Drosophila melanogaster: one gene and its partner. The protein of the gene in region 1 interacts with the protein of each later gene in a pairwise test. Each region holds a gene or a part of one and is shown on either strand. Other genes may lie near its edges.

Region 1 (5,473 bases):
TAGTCGGTGCCCTTGAGTCCCACGGTGGCTGCTCCCTGTTTCACCGCCTCCATTGCGTACTCCACCTGGAAGAGACGACCCTGCGGACTCCAAGTGGTTGTGTCGTTGTCATACTGATTCCGGAACATGGCCAAAAGTGTGAATGAATTCAGCGAAATAACGTTAGCTTGTTAGTTGCAAATTTGTCTAGCTTGAGTTGAAAGTAATTGAAAACTGATATTAATTTCAAGGGTTTGCTTATTCATAGAATTTCTTAAAATATTTACTCGTGTAATTGTTAATTAATCAATTTGTAATGGCCAATTCTAACTAATTTCATAGAATGAGGTCACAAAGAAAGGGTTTCGATGCATACCAAGAGAAAAGCCAATTGCAATCCTAACTTTGCTTTCACTCCAGCTAACTTGCATAATGCCTAACCATGTAGAAAATCAACGGTCTATGAGGAAGTTCGGGTGATCCGATGGAAAAAACATAGGCTGATGTTCGTCACTGAGTGCACCCGCCTCATATGCAGCCAACTGCATCGGGCTGTGAGTGAAAAATAGGAGCTATGATTTAGTCGAAGTATTCATGCTGCCGGGGAAGCCCCCTGCACATAACATAATTAACTCTTTTGGCGATTGCGCAATCGCTGTGCGCGAGCAGTTAATTACTTTTAATTTTCATTGATAGTACTTGTGGCAGTCCGACTTCCTATGGCGCAAATTTCCGTCGCAACTCCAACAACCCAGTAAACCACTTTGCACTTGTACCATGCAGCCAAACATCAATTTCAGTTAATTGTTGAGTTTTTTTTTTTGTGGCTGCATTTGGTTTTTTTGTTTTTGGCTTTTTTCTTCTTTTTTTCCAACTGGCCTAACATTGAAAATTGCATTTCTGCGCTTCGAGCTGTGTGTGCTTGCAAAACTCCGTCTCACTGGCCAATTGAACTTGAAGCTTTGCTTGGACTTTGTCTATATCTCCATATCGCCACATCCGATCTCTGTCAATATCATTAGCCAACAATCCACCGCGTTGAAGGCGATGCCAAAAAGCTTGGCCCAGTCCAAAATGTGGTTCTTTGTGGCGGGTTTGAACCTTGACGAAAGCCGCCACGAAATGAGAACGCCATGAAAATTAGCTAGACAACAATTAGTTGAACTTTGCTGGGTAATGGCACTCTGGGTAAATGGTTTCTCGGAAAAATCTGTCAATGCTTCGATGACTCACTTACTCCAGTGGTCAGACAAGTCACTGGAGTAAGTGGTTTTTGAGCCCTTGATTGAGCCCTTTTTTACCAAAAGTCATATCAAATAATAGATAATCTACTTTTGATAGCAGTACTTTTAGTTTTATTGAGCTAAAAATTATACCATAAATTTTATATATTATGATCACGATTAGGTTGTAATTAAATTAGAAATGATAATTGATCTCTTAATCATTTTATATAATTTTACTATTTTTCAAGCCGGTGGGTTAACTTAAAGATGTTTAAAATCCTAATATATATAGCATTATTATACATATGTAAAAAAATGTAATGGTTGCGATCCACTGACCTCCTAACAAATTTAACAATCATTTTAGATTAAATTTCGAATTTTCCAAGTGATAACCCCCAGTTAACAAAACCGGCAATTTAAATTAAATGCATAACTTTTGATTTATTTCAAAGTCAACAATAAATATTAATAATTAAGGCTTAATAAACTAAATCACATGATTGGGCTATCCATAGTCGCTGATTATGATATGATTTTGGACGGTCAGCAGTGCTGGCCACCAAAGATGAGCATCTGCTGGGAGAGGGCCATCTGCTGGAGGAACTGTTGTTGCTGCTGCGGCAGGATGTGACCCGGTGCCGGATTTATGGCACGCTGGAACACCGCCTGTTGGAGGATGTGGCGGTAGTATAGACTGAGGCGCACCTGCTGTTCCAGCATGGCGGCATGATGACTCCGATACTGCTCGTACTGCTGACCCACTTGCTCCTCCTGTGCCTGCTTGGCCCGCCGGCTGAGTAGGCAAGCCAGCGTGTTTCTATCGCGGCGCATCTGCTCCTTGGGGCTTCGCTGACGATTGGTGTTACTGCGGCGCACCATGTTGGCACGGTACTGGCTGACCGAGGATCCTGGGCCACTGGGTTTCGCCGCCGTTGACGTCTCCTTCTCCGCCTGTTGGTTCTGCTCATTATCCAACCAAGGTCGGAAGAATCCCTGTGTCTGACGGCGCTTGAAGATCGGCTGTTCCGACTGCTGAGTTTGGTTCTCCTTGTCATGGTCCACTTCCCGTTTCCGCTTGCTGACGGCAAACTTCTTGTGGGTGTAGCTCGATGAGTTCTCCATTTTTGTATTTCGATAATATGACTCCGAATGAGTTGTGGTGATGATGTGACTCGTTGGACGATCGCTTGCTGAATGATTGGCTTCGAGATTGATATCCTGGTTATAAGCACAGTAGGTAGGCGGTACAGGTAGCCACATAGGGAAATCCCTTTGTTTTGGGTCTGTCAACAAAGGGATTAGCGCATCCATTCCGCATTAGGTAATCTCCGTCCTGGATTAAGCAGCATATTTTATGACCTGCTCTATCACAGCGCTAATTGTCGTCGCAGGATTGCCTCATTATCCTTTTTTTGGTGTGTGGATTACCTGGATTATCGGACAAATGTGGCCACCGGAACAGGAAAGTTCTGGACCGAACAACTGTTATGCAGGCGATGCATTTTTTTATTGACCTGCATGACACAATTTGTTGTGGCACCGTGTGTGGTCCCTTTGGCTCCTGGTTCCTCAGCACACTTTGTTTTAATTCCCTGGAAATTCTCGAGGGTCCTTTGCCGAACACTTTTCCTCTAGAATGACATGGCATTATATGTCCTGGTCGGTGGTTAGAAAAAAGTGTCAAGGATTTTTAAAGACTGCTGACAGATGCGATTTCAGTTTACGGAGAAGGAATTGCATTCATGGAAGTCTTGAGAGGTGAATTAAATATATTTAATCCATTTATTAGTTTAGGTAGTAAAACACGCCTTTAAAAATATTTAAAGAGTTAAATAAACTTCGTACAAACATGTATACGGCATATATCATATATATAAATGAATTAGTAAAACACTATTCGTGTAAATAATTTAGTATATTAAGATTTATTTATCTGCGCAATTTTTAATCGCGGACAACAATATGATGATTTCATTGATGATTATTTAAATATAAAGGCGGATCTTATTGTCACCGTGTTTTAATTATTTTGCAAGCACTTTGTTCGTTCGCTATGCTGATTTGTTTATAAATTAAATAATTAAATCCAACTGAAATAAATTACAATTTTATTCCGTGTTTCCCACAATATGTCACTCGTGCCGAATCGATTCAATTCTCACTGTAGTCTGGCTATGTGAATCACTAGAATTACTTCACACCTTAATTAGCATTGCAAATTGCGCTTCCAAGAAATTAATTACATAAGATGTATTTAATGTTATATAATGGCAGAAAAACCAAGTGAGGTAACTCTTATGAGCTGATGCTTCCGGTCAGTTTTGGTCTAGAACAAATCCTCATGATGTTAAACGGCGGAAAAGAAATATCAGACTTCCAAATAAGATTCAATAAATAAGACCCCGAGTTAGATTTCAATCAATCAGAAACCAACTAAAAACCAATTATTACAAAATTCTATAAAAATTACAAGTTATTTCGATAACAATTAGTGTGTTTATTGTTTAGTCAACCAGATAAATAAATTAAACTTTAAAAGTAATCACAATCACTATTCAGCTTTTCTACAATAAGTTAGGGCGCATTGAGCAGCGCCCAGTCGTTGCACCATGTCCACCCTTCAAGGATGCTGGGTGGTGGTCTGTTGGCGCGGCATCATGTGCCTTGGCTGTGTGGGAGGCAGTGGCTCCGTGGAGGCCATCGCCTGCTGCAGGAAGCGCACATAGTAGAGACTCAGGCGGATCTGCTGCTGCAGATTGGCCTCGTGCTGAATGCGACTGGTCAGGTATTGTTGTTCGATGAGCTGCTGCTGTTGCTGCTGGGAGCGTCGATGGCGCAGGCTGGCCAAGGTGTTGCGATCCCGACGCAGTTGCTCCTGTGGACTGCGCTGGCGGCGCTTGTGGTGATTGCGCACCATGTTAGCGTGGTAGGTGCCATCCACTTGTTGTGGCGGCGGTGTCGATGTAGCCACAATCTTACGTGGCGGCTGTGGTTGCTCCTCTTCCGGAGACTCATCCATCCAGGGTCGGAAGAAGCGACGCTTAGGCTGCGGCTGCTCTGGAGTGCGTTGGCCCGGCTGTTCCATAATGAAGACCACATCGTCATCAGAGTCCGCATCCATGCTGCGCTTTCGCTTCAGAGCTCCAGTGAATTTCTTGTGGTTATAGTTATCCATTCTTGATTAAGAGTAGTGGTGTTCGCTTTGCTGTCTTCGAGACGACTGTGCTGCCCCTCCTCCTGGCCATCCGTTTTATGCAACATTAGGTAACTTGCAGAGCCTCCCACGAAAACGGAATGGCCAAATGGCAAAGATTTTCCCATCACGTACCTGGGGATCACGGTAAAACGGATCAGGTATTTCCCCAACGCATTTCATTCATTCCCTAAAAATGGGACCAAAACTAATCGGCTGCTGTTACCTGAATTGGGAATAGGGAGTTCCTAATCCGCAGGCTGGCAATCTTCTCAAAGGGTGTCATAAACCAGTTGTTGTCCTTGCCTCGTCTGTTTACGTGGCCGACGATTTTCGACGAAATTACCTGTTGTCGGGCCCGAAAAAGGGATCTCTGTGTAGAGGATCCCTGTGTAATCTCTAATCCTGGCGCTCAATTCGTCCAGGCTGTCTGCCGGCCGACCCGCTATTGTTTCGGCTTTCTTTGTGGCACCTGAATAGCAGACATGCTGCAGTTTTCAATGCCCGATCTCGATTCGAACAACAAGCGTTTATGACTTTCAGCTTGGACAGCTGAAGAAAAACCGTCTCGGAGTTTCTGAATCTCCCGGTACATGTACATACTAGCAAACCTAGAAAACCGGCAATTACTGAATGCTCCTCCCTCTGCTCCCTGGTTTCGTGTCTTTGGCATTATGTCGGATTTTTCCGTTTCATTCAATGGTCCATTGTCCATTGATTTATGCCGTCAGGGAACGAATGTATATGTGGTAGATGGTTCTCACATTTCAGTGTTCCTCCGCCTAAGCGGATTTATTTCAGGTGGGCTTGAGACGAGCCCTCCTCGAGGAATCCCAAAGTCAATAAGCAGGAGCGGAGTGGGAGTTGGTTATTTGTTCAGTTGAAGTATTACAGTGAAAGATTGTCGTATTGTTTGATTGTTTTCCTTTTATTATATTGATCAATTTTCATCTGTTCTGGAACGCAGAGAATCGATTGCATTGGGTCCTCCAGGGTAGGTGTTGTTCATTCCTTCAAGGGGAATGACCTTAAAAAGAGCAATAATATCCTACCAGGAAGTGCTTTCACCAAT
Region 2 (7,142 bases), on another chromosome or scaffold:
AAAACGAATGTATTTGTATTTGATAACTCAATTTAAAAAGTTTCACAACATTATGCAATATAAAATGGTGCGATTAAGGTAAAATGAAATGGGCTTATCACGTTCCTTATTGGTATATATGTATATTAATGGACTTACCTTAAGGCTCTCACTGCACCGCGTTCTGTGATCAGACTGGACTTCAGTTCATTTACCTCCAGACGCAGTTGCTCCGTGAGGGCATTTAGCTTCTGGATGGTGTCCATGTTCTCCTGCAGTTTTCTCTTGATCCTTTGTGGAGGTGCTGCTATCACATTTGTGGTAGTCACGCCACCAATTATTACGGGTCGTTCTCGATCTTTTTCTGCCTTTCCCAGTTGCTTCTGGGAGCCGGCAGATGGGCCCTTCTCGGCCTCAAAGGATTGGGTCTCCTTGGGTCGCAATTTGCCGCGACAATGCAGCTGGATGCCCTCGATGCGAGTGCGCTTCTCCTGATTCACCGTATCCCCAACGGAAGTCAGGGAGCTGCTCAGTTTCTTCTTGCGCTTCAACTTGTTCTTGGCCATCGTTTGCCAGTCTTCGATATCGTGCTTCTCCGTGTGGAAGCTCTCTTTGAGTTTGGAGCCAGGATCCGTCCGGCGGACCACAGTCCCATTGTGGGGCGCCAGGATATGGGCGGTCCTGCTCATTGTATTACATCCCTTGCTAGAGGTCGTTTTGGTTTGGTTTTCAGCCATTTTTATGTAACTTTAGTATATAAAAATGTTGCCGTCGTTTTTTTTTGGGTTTCTGCTTTTTCAAGTACTGCATATGCCGGTGCACCCCGATCCTGCCGAAAGTCCCTGCTATACTTCACCTGGTCATCGTTGGATTCTCCTCAATCTGTAAGCGATATATTCAAAATAAAGTATACAATAATGTGGCTTTAATAATGCTTTAAGCATATACAATAAAAGCCCTACTCTTATCTACTTATTACAAATTATGCCTTGAAAAATTACACAGTATACAGAATTCCGAGTCTTTGCCCGCATGGAGGTTGTTTCTTCAGAATCGCAAAGATTCCCCTTTGTCTGTCAGCATTTCAATGGCTTCTGTTTAGCCGTAGACTCTTCAACGCTTTTCTTCACTGGGTTGAACTAATCAACAAGTTTCCCCCATTATTGATTTCAGCGGAAAAGCTTTTTCCTTCATTTCGCCACATCGGGTCGGGCCACACATATGAATGAAAAACGAAACATATAGGCACCCTGGGACTGGGAAATAGTTTACAACGCCAATTGCGTTGGGCTTACCAAATAAACTGGTCCGGAATGACTTTTCTTAATGACGTCATGTGGCGCGCCTTTTGGAATAGAACAGAATATGTACGTACATTCATATGTACATGTGTTTTTTTTGTTTTGTGAGGTTCCCCACTGGGGCGCTTTACACGCAATAAAACCGCTTTTCATTACTTTTTTTGTTCTACAGAAACAGAATTCTTTGCACTGCTCCCACATCCGCCCCAAAGATTATAACAAAGCATCTATATATATACTGTATGAGGTGCACACACGAGTAGGCCCACAGTTCATATGTTCATAGAATGCTCTCCGAGATTTCTGGCCGATCATCTTTATCAAGGCCACGATCTATATACACATGTAGAGCGACAGATTTGTGTACTTAGCAACCTTCTGGCGCCTAATTGGAATTTGATTTGTTTTTCCAGCTCGATACACTAGGTGTTAATAGGGAGGGATCTTAAGTGAGTGGTGCCCAAGTTTATTACTTTCTGGTTATCAACATAAATTATAAGTAATTATTAGTAAACTTTATGATATTGACTCTTGGACGTATTTCAAAACCGAACTGTTAGTGGAAAAACTACCCTAAAAGAGGTGTTCGTTCCAAATGTATGTAATATTTATTTTGTGGCTTTTCTATAAACTGAAGGACTGGGGCTAATGATGGCTCTCATGTTGCATTTCATTTAATTAAATTTAAAACCGCCCCCAGTCCACTCGATAATAAAGTGTTTTTGGGGTCGACATACACGCCATGGTGACATCACAGCCTCGGTGTGACCGGCTTGGTTGGGATTGGTTTTATACGAGCAAAGCCACCCACTCGATTGCCATCCACATCCACAGCCATCCACATGGGCAGATGAAAGTCTCTTTTTTGCTCTTTAAGTATGTATATTTTCAGTCATATATCAATTTGAAAATATTGCCAAACGATGAGTCGGTCAGCCGTCGAGTGTACAGTCTGCGGCTCTTTCGGCTGATTCACCGAAGATCACGTATACGCACCATTAGCTCTGAAATCCTTGGGCGTCGTAGACCAACAGTTGGTGTGCCTCAAACTTCTGTATATGTTTATTCACTCACTCACTCACTCACTAAGTCGACCGACGATGTTGTAATGTAAACAGTTTATTTACTGCCTGCTTGCCACTGTTTCTTGCAGTGTAATGACGTCAATACGTTAATTTTCAATCAACTTTTTTCGCGCACAGACCAAGTAGAATATCGTCGGTATGTGGAGCACTTCTTCGACAATTGTTAAGCAAAGTATGATATATTTTTGTTCAAATATATTCACACAGTTCGTACAGGAAGTTCGAAATTATATCAATTAAGTTACACAAGTTCGTCGGAATAGAAGTGAGTTATGTTCGGTTCGTTTGGGGAGTATCCTAATTAGTTGCAATCAATTTGAATTGTAAATTAAAAGAAGTGTTCTATACTAGGTAAATTTCGTTGCTCGGCGATAGCAGAGATCTTTCGTTTCGGCCGGACACCGATTGACTAACTCGGCCTCTCGAGCTTTCGCAAGCTCTTTCACATTTGCCTCCATTTCCATTTAATTAAAAGGAGCTTTGCCATTTATTCATGCACTTCTTGGGGTTATGGGGTGGCAAAGCTCGGGTCTGTGTGCGTGCCCCGAAGAATGGCCGACGTGAAGCCGGAAGAGCCCATCTATTGAAAGCCGAAGATGTTTTCCTCCCGGTTCCCGACTTCATAACAAAAAAAAACCAGTCGCGTGTTTATTAATAACCAAAATATGCACACAACCCGCCACGAAATTGGTCAAAATAACAAACAGTGAAATAAAAGATATCGGAACTTCAGGTTGATTGGATATTAATTCGGTATAAGTTTGATAAAGTAATGATAAAATTCAGTTAAATTGTTATATCTGTGTAAACATTGTTATAAGTACTTCCGCATGATTAAGGCGCGTTGCTCAAACATATATCAGCACAAAGCATTTGTGCTAGTTTAAGTTTAAGAGCAATCTGAAGACGTGACATTAAAGCTGTTGAAACGTGCATCTATTATTATATGTTTAGACCAGAAGTAAATAAATTTGGTAATAAACATACTTGCAAAACATTTAAGTTGCTCAACTTTTTTATAGTCTTTTTATGGCAATTAAAATTTCATACTTTTAATTTCGATTTAAATGCCAAACGTATTGCGTATGAATATCTTTATGTCTATAATCCCCAACAGCTGAAGAATCTTCACAAATCACATACAAATTTGACAATCGCCTTAACGACGCGATGAATGATGGACACAATTAGAACACATTCCGATTCCAGTCAGTCAACACAGGGGAAATCTAAATAAAAGCACAAAAGGGGAACAAACTTTGCACTTTGATTTGAGTGCCTTATCGTGTGGGAGCCCCACTTCACTTTTCTTTTTCTTACTCACTATTTGCATTTTTCATAGTCGGTTCAGCATCCTGATTTGTTTCATAATCACTCGGCAATTGTCTAGTATCCGGTTAGTATCCATTGGCATCCCTTGTGGTTCGATGTCGTCGTTAAGAGGAGTCTTGGGCAACTAAAATTCCAATTCCACATGACCGAATTAGATTTAGAATGCTTTCTTTCATTTAAACCTATTTGCGGTTGAATGTTCTGGCGTTTTGGCCTTTCAAATGACTCTTCTATTTTTCATTTAATTGCTGCTCGGTGCACAACTCACTCAAGTTGAGCGGTAGGAACAAACTGAAGATGCGGCGCACTTTCTAAAATGGAATAAGCGACATGCGTGCGTGCATCGCCAAATTTATATAAATAGAAGGAATCACAAATCTATATTTGAAGTTGGGAGCAATTTCAAAAAACCGCTCGCCGGTCAAGAGTGACGTCATGGAGCCATCGATAACTTTTTCGATAACAACTACCAGCTGCATATCATATTAGTTTAAAATGTTCATCAAAAAGTGTGGAAACTAGCTTTGTACCATAAAGTTAAAAAATCGCAAGATAGAAATAAATAGATAGTTTTTTATGAGTTAGGATTTCAAATTTCATTGTAAAGTGCGACTAAGTCCCCAAACGTTCACACTGGCTGCAAGCATCGATTAAATACAAAATAACAACGATTAATCGATTGGCCCATTACTCATCGCGGAAAACGTGAACGAAAAGCAAGTTGCCGCCTGTCTGCTAGGAACTTTATTGTTTTAAACTGTAATACGTGCTAAAGGCCAACCCCATCACATAAATATGGTAAGTCCGGCTGGAAATAATCCGAGGCTAACCAAGTGAATCCCAATCATGGACTCGTCCGCGAGCGGCATGAGATTGTAAACATAACCTGCAAAGAAGCTTCTCGCAAGCCGACGACATCTGCTGACTAATTGGAGACTTTTACTATATATTCGCCTTATATCCGTATGATCCGCAGCAACCGCAAATCGTGCTCCTCAAAGAAGGCACTGACTCGTCGCAGGGCAAGCCGCAACTGGTGTCCAACATCAATGCCTGCCAGTCGATCGTGGACGCAGTGCGGACCACTCTGGGTCCCCGCGGCATGGACAAGCTGATTGTGGATGCCCACGGCAAGGCGACGATTTCCAACGATGGAGCCACCATCATGAAGCTGCTGGAGATCATCCACCCGGCGGCCAAGACCCTGGTGGACATTGCCAAGTCACAAGACGCCGAGGTAAGTGATTGGCACCCCTGAGACGCACGTGACACTGCTAAAGCTTTGATTCGACTTCTCCTTCAGGTGGGTGACGGCACCACGTCCGTGGTTCTGCTGGCCGGCGAGTTCCTTAAGCAGGTGAAACCCTTCGTGGAGGAGGGAGTGCACCCACGAGTCATCATTAAGGCCATCCGCAAGGCCCTGCAGCTCTGCATGGAAAAGATCAACGAAATGGCCGTCCAAATTGTCGAACAGTCCAAGGACCAGCAGCGTGCTCTCCTTGAGAAGTGCGCAGCCACTGCCATGTCCTCCAAGTTGATTCACCAGCAGAAGGACTTCTTCTCCCGCATTGTAGTCGATGCTGTGCTCTCCCTGGATGAGCTGCTGCCCCTCAACATGATTGGAATTAAGAAGGTGACCGGTGGCTCGCTGGAGGAGTCACAGCTAGTGTCGGGTGTGGCCTTCAAGAAGACCTTTTCCTATGCCGGCTTTGAAATGGCCCCCAAATCCTATGACAACTGCAAAATTGCCCTGCTCAACATCGAATTGGAGCTTAAGGCTGAGCGCGATAACGCCGAGATCCGCGTAGACAACGTCAAGGAGTACCAAAAGGTGGTCGACGCCGAGTGGCAGATCCTCTACAACAAGCTGGCTAAGATCCACGAGTCCGGCGCCAATGTTGTCCTCTCCAAGCTGCCCATCGGTGATGTGGCCACACAGTATTTCGCCGACCGCGACATATTCTGCGCCGGCCGCGTTCCCGAAGAAGATCTTAAGCGCACCATGAAGGCTTGCGGTGGAGCCGTAATGACGACGGCCAACGACATTAAGCCCAATGTACTCGGCCTGTGCGAACATTTCGAGGAGCGCCAAGTGGGCGGCGAACGTTTCAACCTCTTCCAAGGTAAGAATCTTATTCGTATACTTAATTGAAGGACTCGTTTTAACAACCACTTGTTATTTTCCATTTTAAATAGGCTGCCCCAATGCCAAGACGAGCACCCTTATTCTGCGTGGCGGTGCCGAACAGTTTCTGGAGGAGACTGAGCGATCCCTCCACGACGCAATTATGATCGTGCGGCGCACCATCAAGCACGATTCCGTTGTGGCCGGCGGCGGTGCCATTGAAATGGAGTTGTCCAAGCTGCTGCGGGACTATTCGCGCACCATTGCCGGTAAGGAGCAGCTGCTGATTGCTGCCATCGCCAAGGGCCTGGAGATCATTCCTCGCCAGCTGTGCGACAACGCCGGTTTCGATGCCACCAACATTCTCAACAAGTTGCGCCAGAAGCACGCCCAGGGTGAGTGTCCAATGGTATTTGTCCATACAAAGCCACCTTAACGATGAGTGAATTTGAAATTTATATTTGAAAGGGGGAAGGATAAGTTTTTATTTTAAAGAACTTGTGTGTGAAACTTTAAACAAAAAACATTTGTTCCTCTTAACGAATGATAATCCATTTTTATTCACTTCGTCCAATTGTCTGTCTGATTACTTTTTTGAGCTGCTCATGCCAGAGAAGGAAGCAGGGTTCCTGGCATAGACCCGGCTTATCGGGACAGGTGTTGCACATGTACCTGCTGAACTGCAGCATTCCGCCTTTGTGGCAATAGCGGCAGTTTTTCTTGGCCGGCTTCCCGTTCTGCTGGATAAGCATGGGTTCGTGTAGAATGGTCTTCAACCTGGGCTCGGGCACCGGCTTGTTCTTTGACCGTTCATATGTCTCTGGCTTCTGGATACTAGTTACCGGTTCGTTCGTCACTTCTTCTCTTAGAAGCGACTTTATGATGATCACCCGGAACTCCGAGTAACTTTTAAGATGTCCGACTCGCGCATTCTGGCCATTAGCAAAGTATAGCAAATAGGCATTGTACACGAGGATGTTGAGTAGGAAAATGGTCAACTTTATGTTTGCCTTCAGCTCCTTGCAGGCAGCTTGGTAGTGGATCAGGTGGTGGCGACCGTCGTTTCCAGGTCGTAGTTGAAACTCGAGCTCCTGGATCAACTTAGGTTTTGCATTTGTCTTTTGCATGGCCATCTCCTTGGAATAAATGGCCAAGCAGTCAGAGCTGAAGCAGTACAAGCTCTTTGCCCGTCGTCGCCATTTGGCCATCATCAGAGAAGTGGCATAGCTGGTGGAGATGCTGTTGGAATCCAACCGCTGGTGCACCAGTGCCTTACTGTTGCCATATCTATTCCTGTCCAGCAGACCAGTGCAATAGGTG

What was found. The genes of interacting proteins can lie anywhere in the genome.
Region 2: the proteins of CG16815 (region 1) and Pif1A come close enough for resonance energy transfer, tested with the Drosophila melanogaster proteins (one large-scale study listed by BioGRID).

Annotation. Positions count from the first base shown.
Region 1 is NT_033779.5:13,226,763-13,232,235, reverse strand, and holds CG16815 (uncharacterized protein), read right to left. Parts: upstream 2,405-5,473; 5' UTR 2,331-2,404; coding exon 1,752-2,330; 3' UTR 1,687-1,751; downstream 1-1,686. Other genes in the region: Prosalpha6T (proteasome alpha6 subunit, Testis-specific), read right to left, coding at 1-128; CG16813 (uncharacterized protein), read right to left, coding at 3,829-4,383.
Region 2 is NT_033777.3:8,797,186-8,804,327, forward strand, and holds the start of Pif1A (PFTAIRE-interacting factor 1A), read right to left. Parts: upstream 3,992-7,142; 5' UTR 3,690-3,991; intron 3,595-3,689; 5' UTR 3,509-3,594; intron 2,760-3,508; exon of another isoform or gene 2,277-2,759; intron 862-2,276; 5' UTR 717-861; coding exon 139-716; intron 1-138. Other genes in the region: CCT7 (chaperonin containing TCP1 subunit 7), read left to right, coding at 4,493-4,495, 4,674-4,934, 5,001-5,820, 5,894-6,217; CG9839 (uncharacterized protein), read right to left, coding at 6,380-7,142.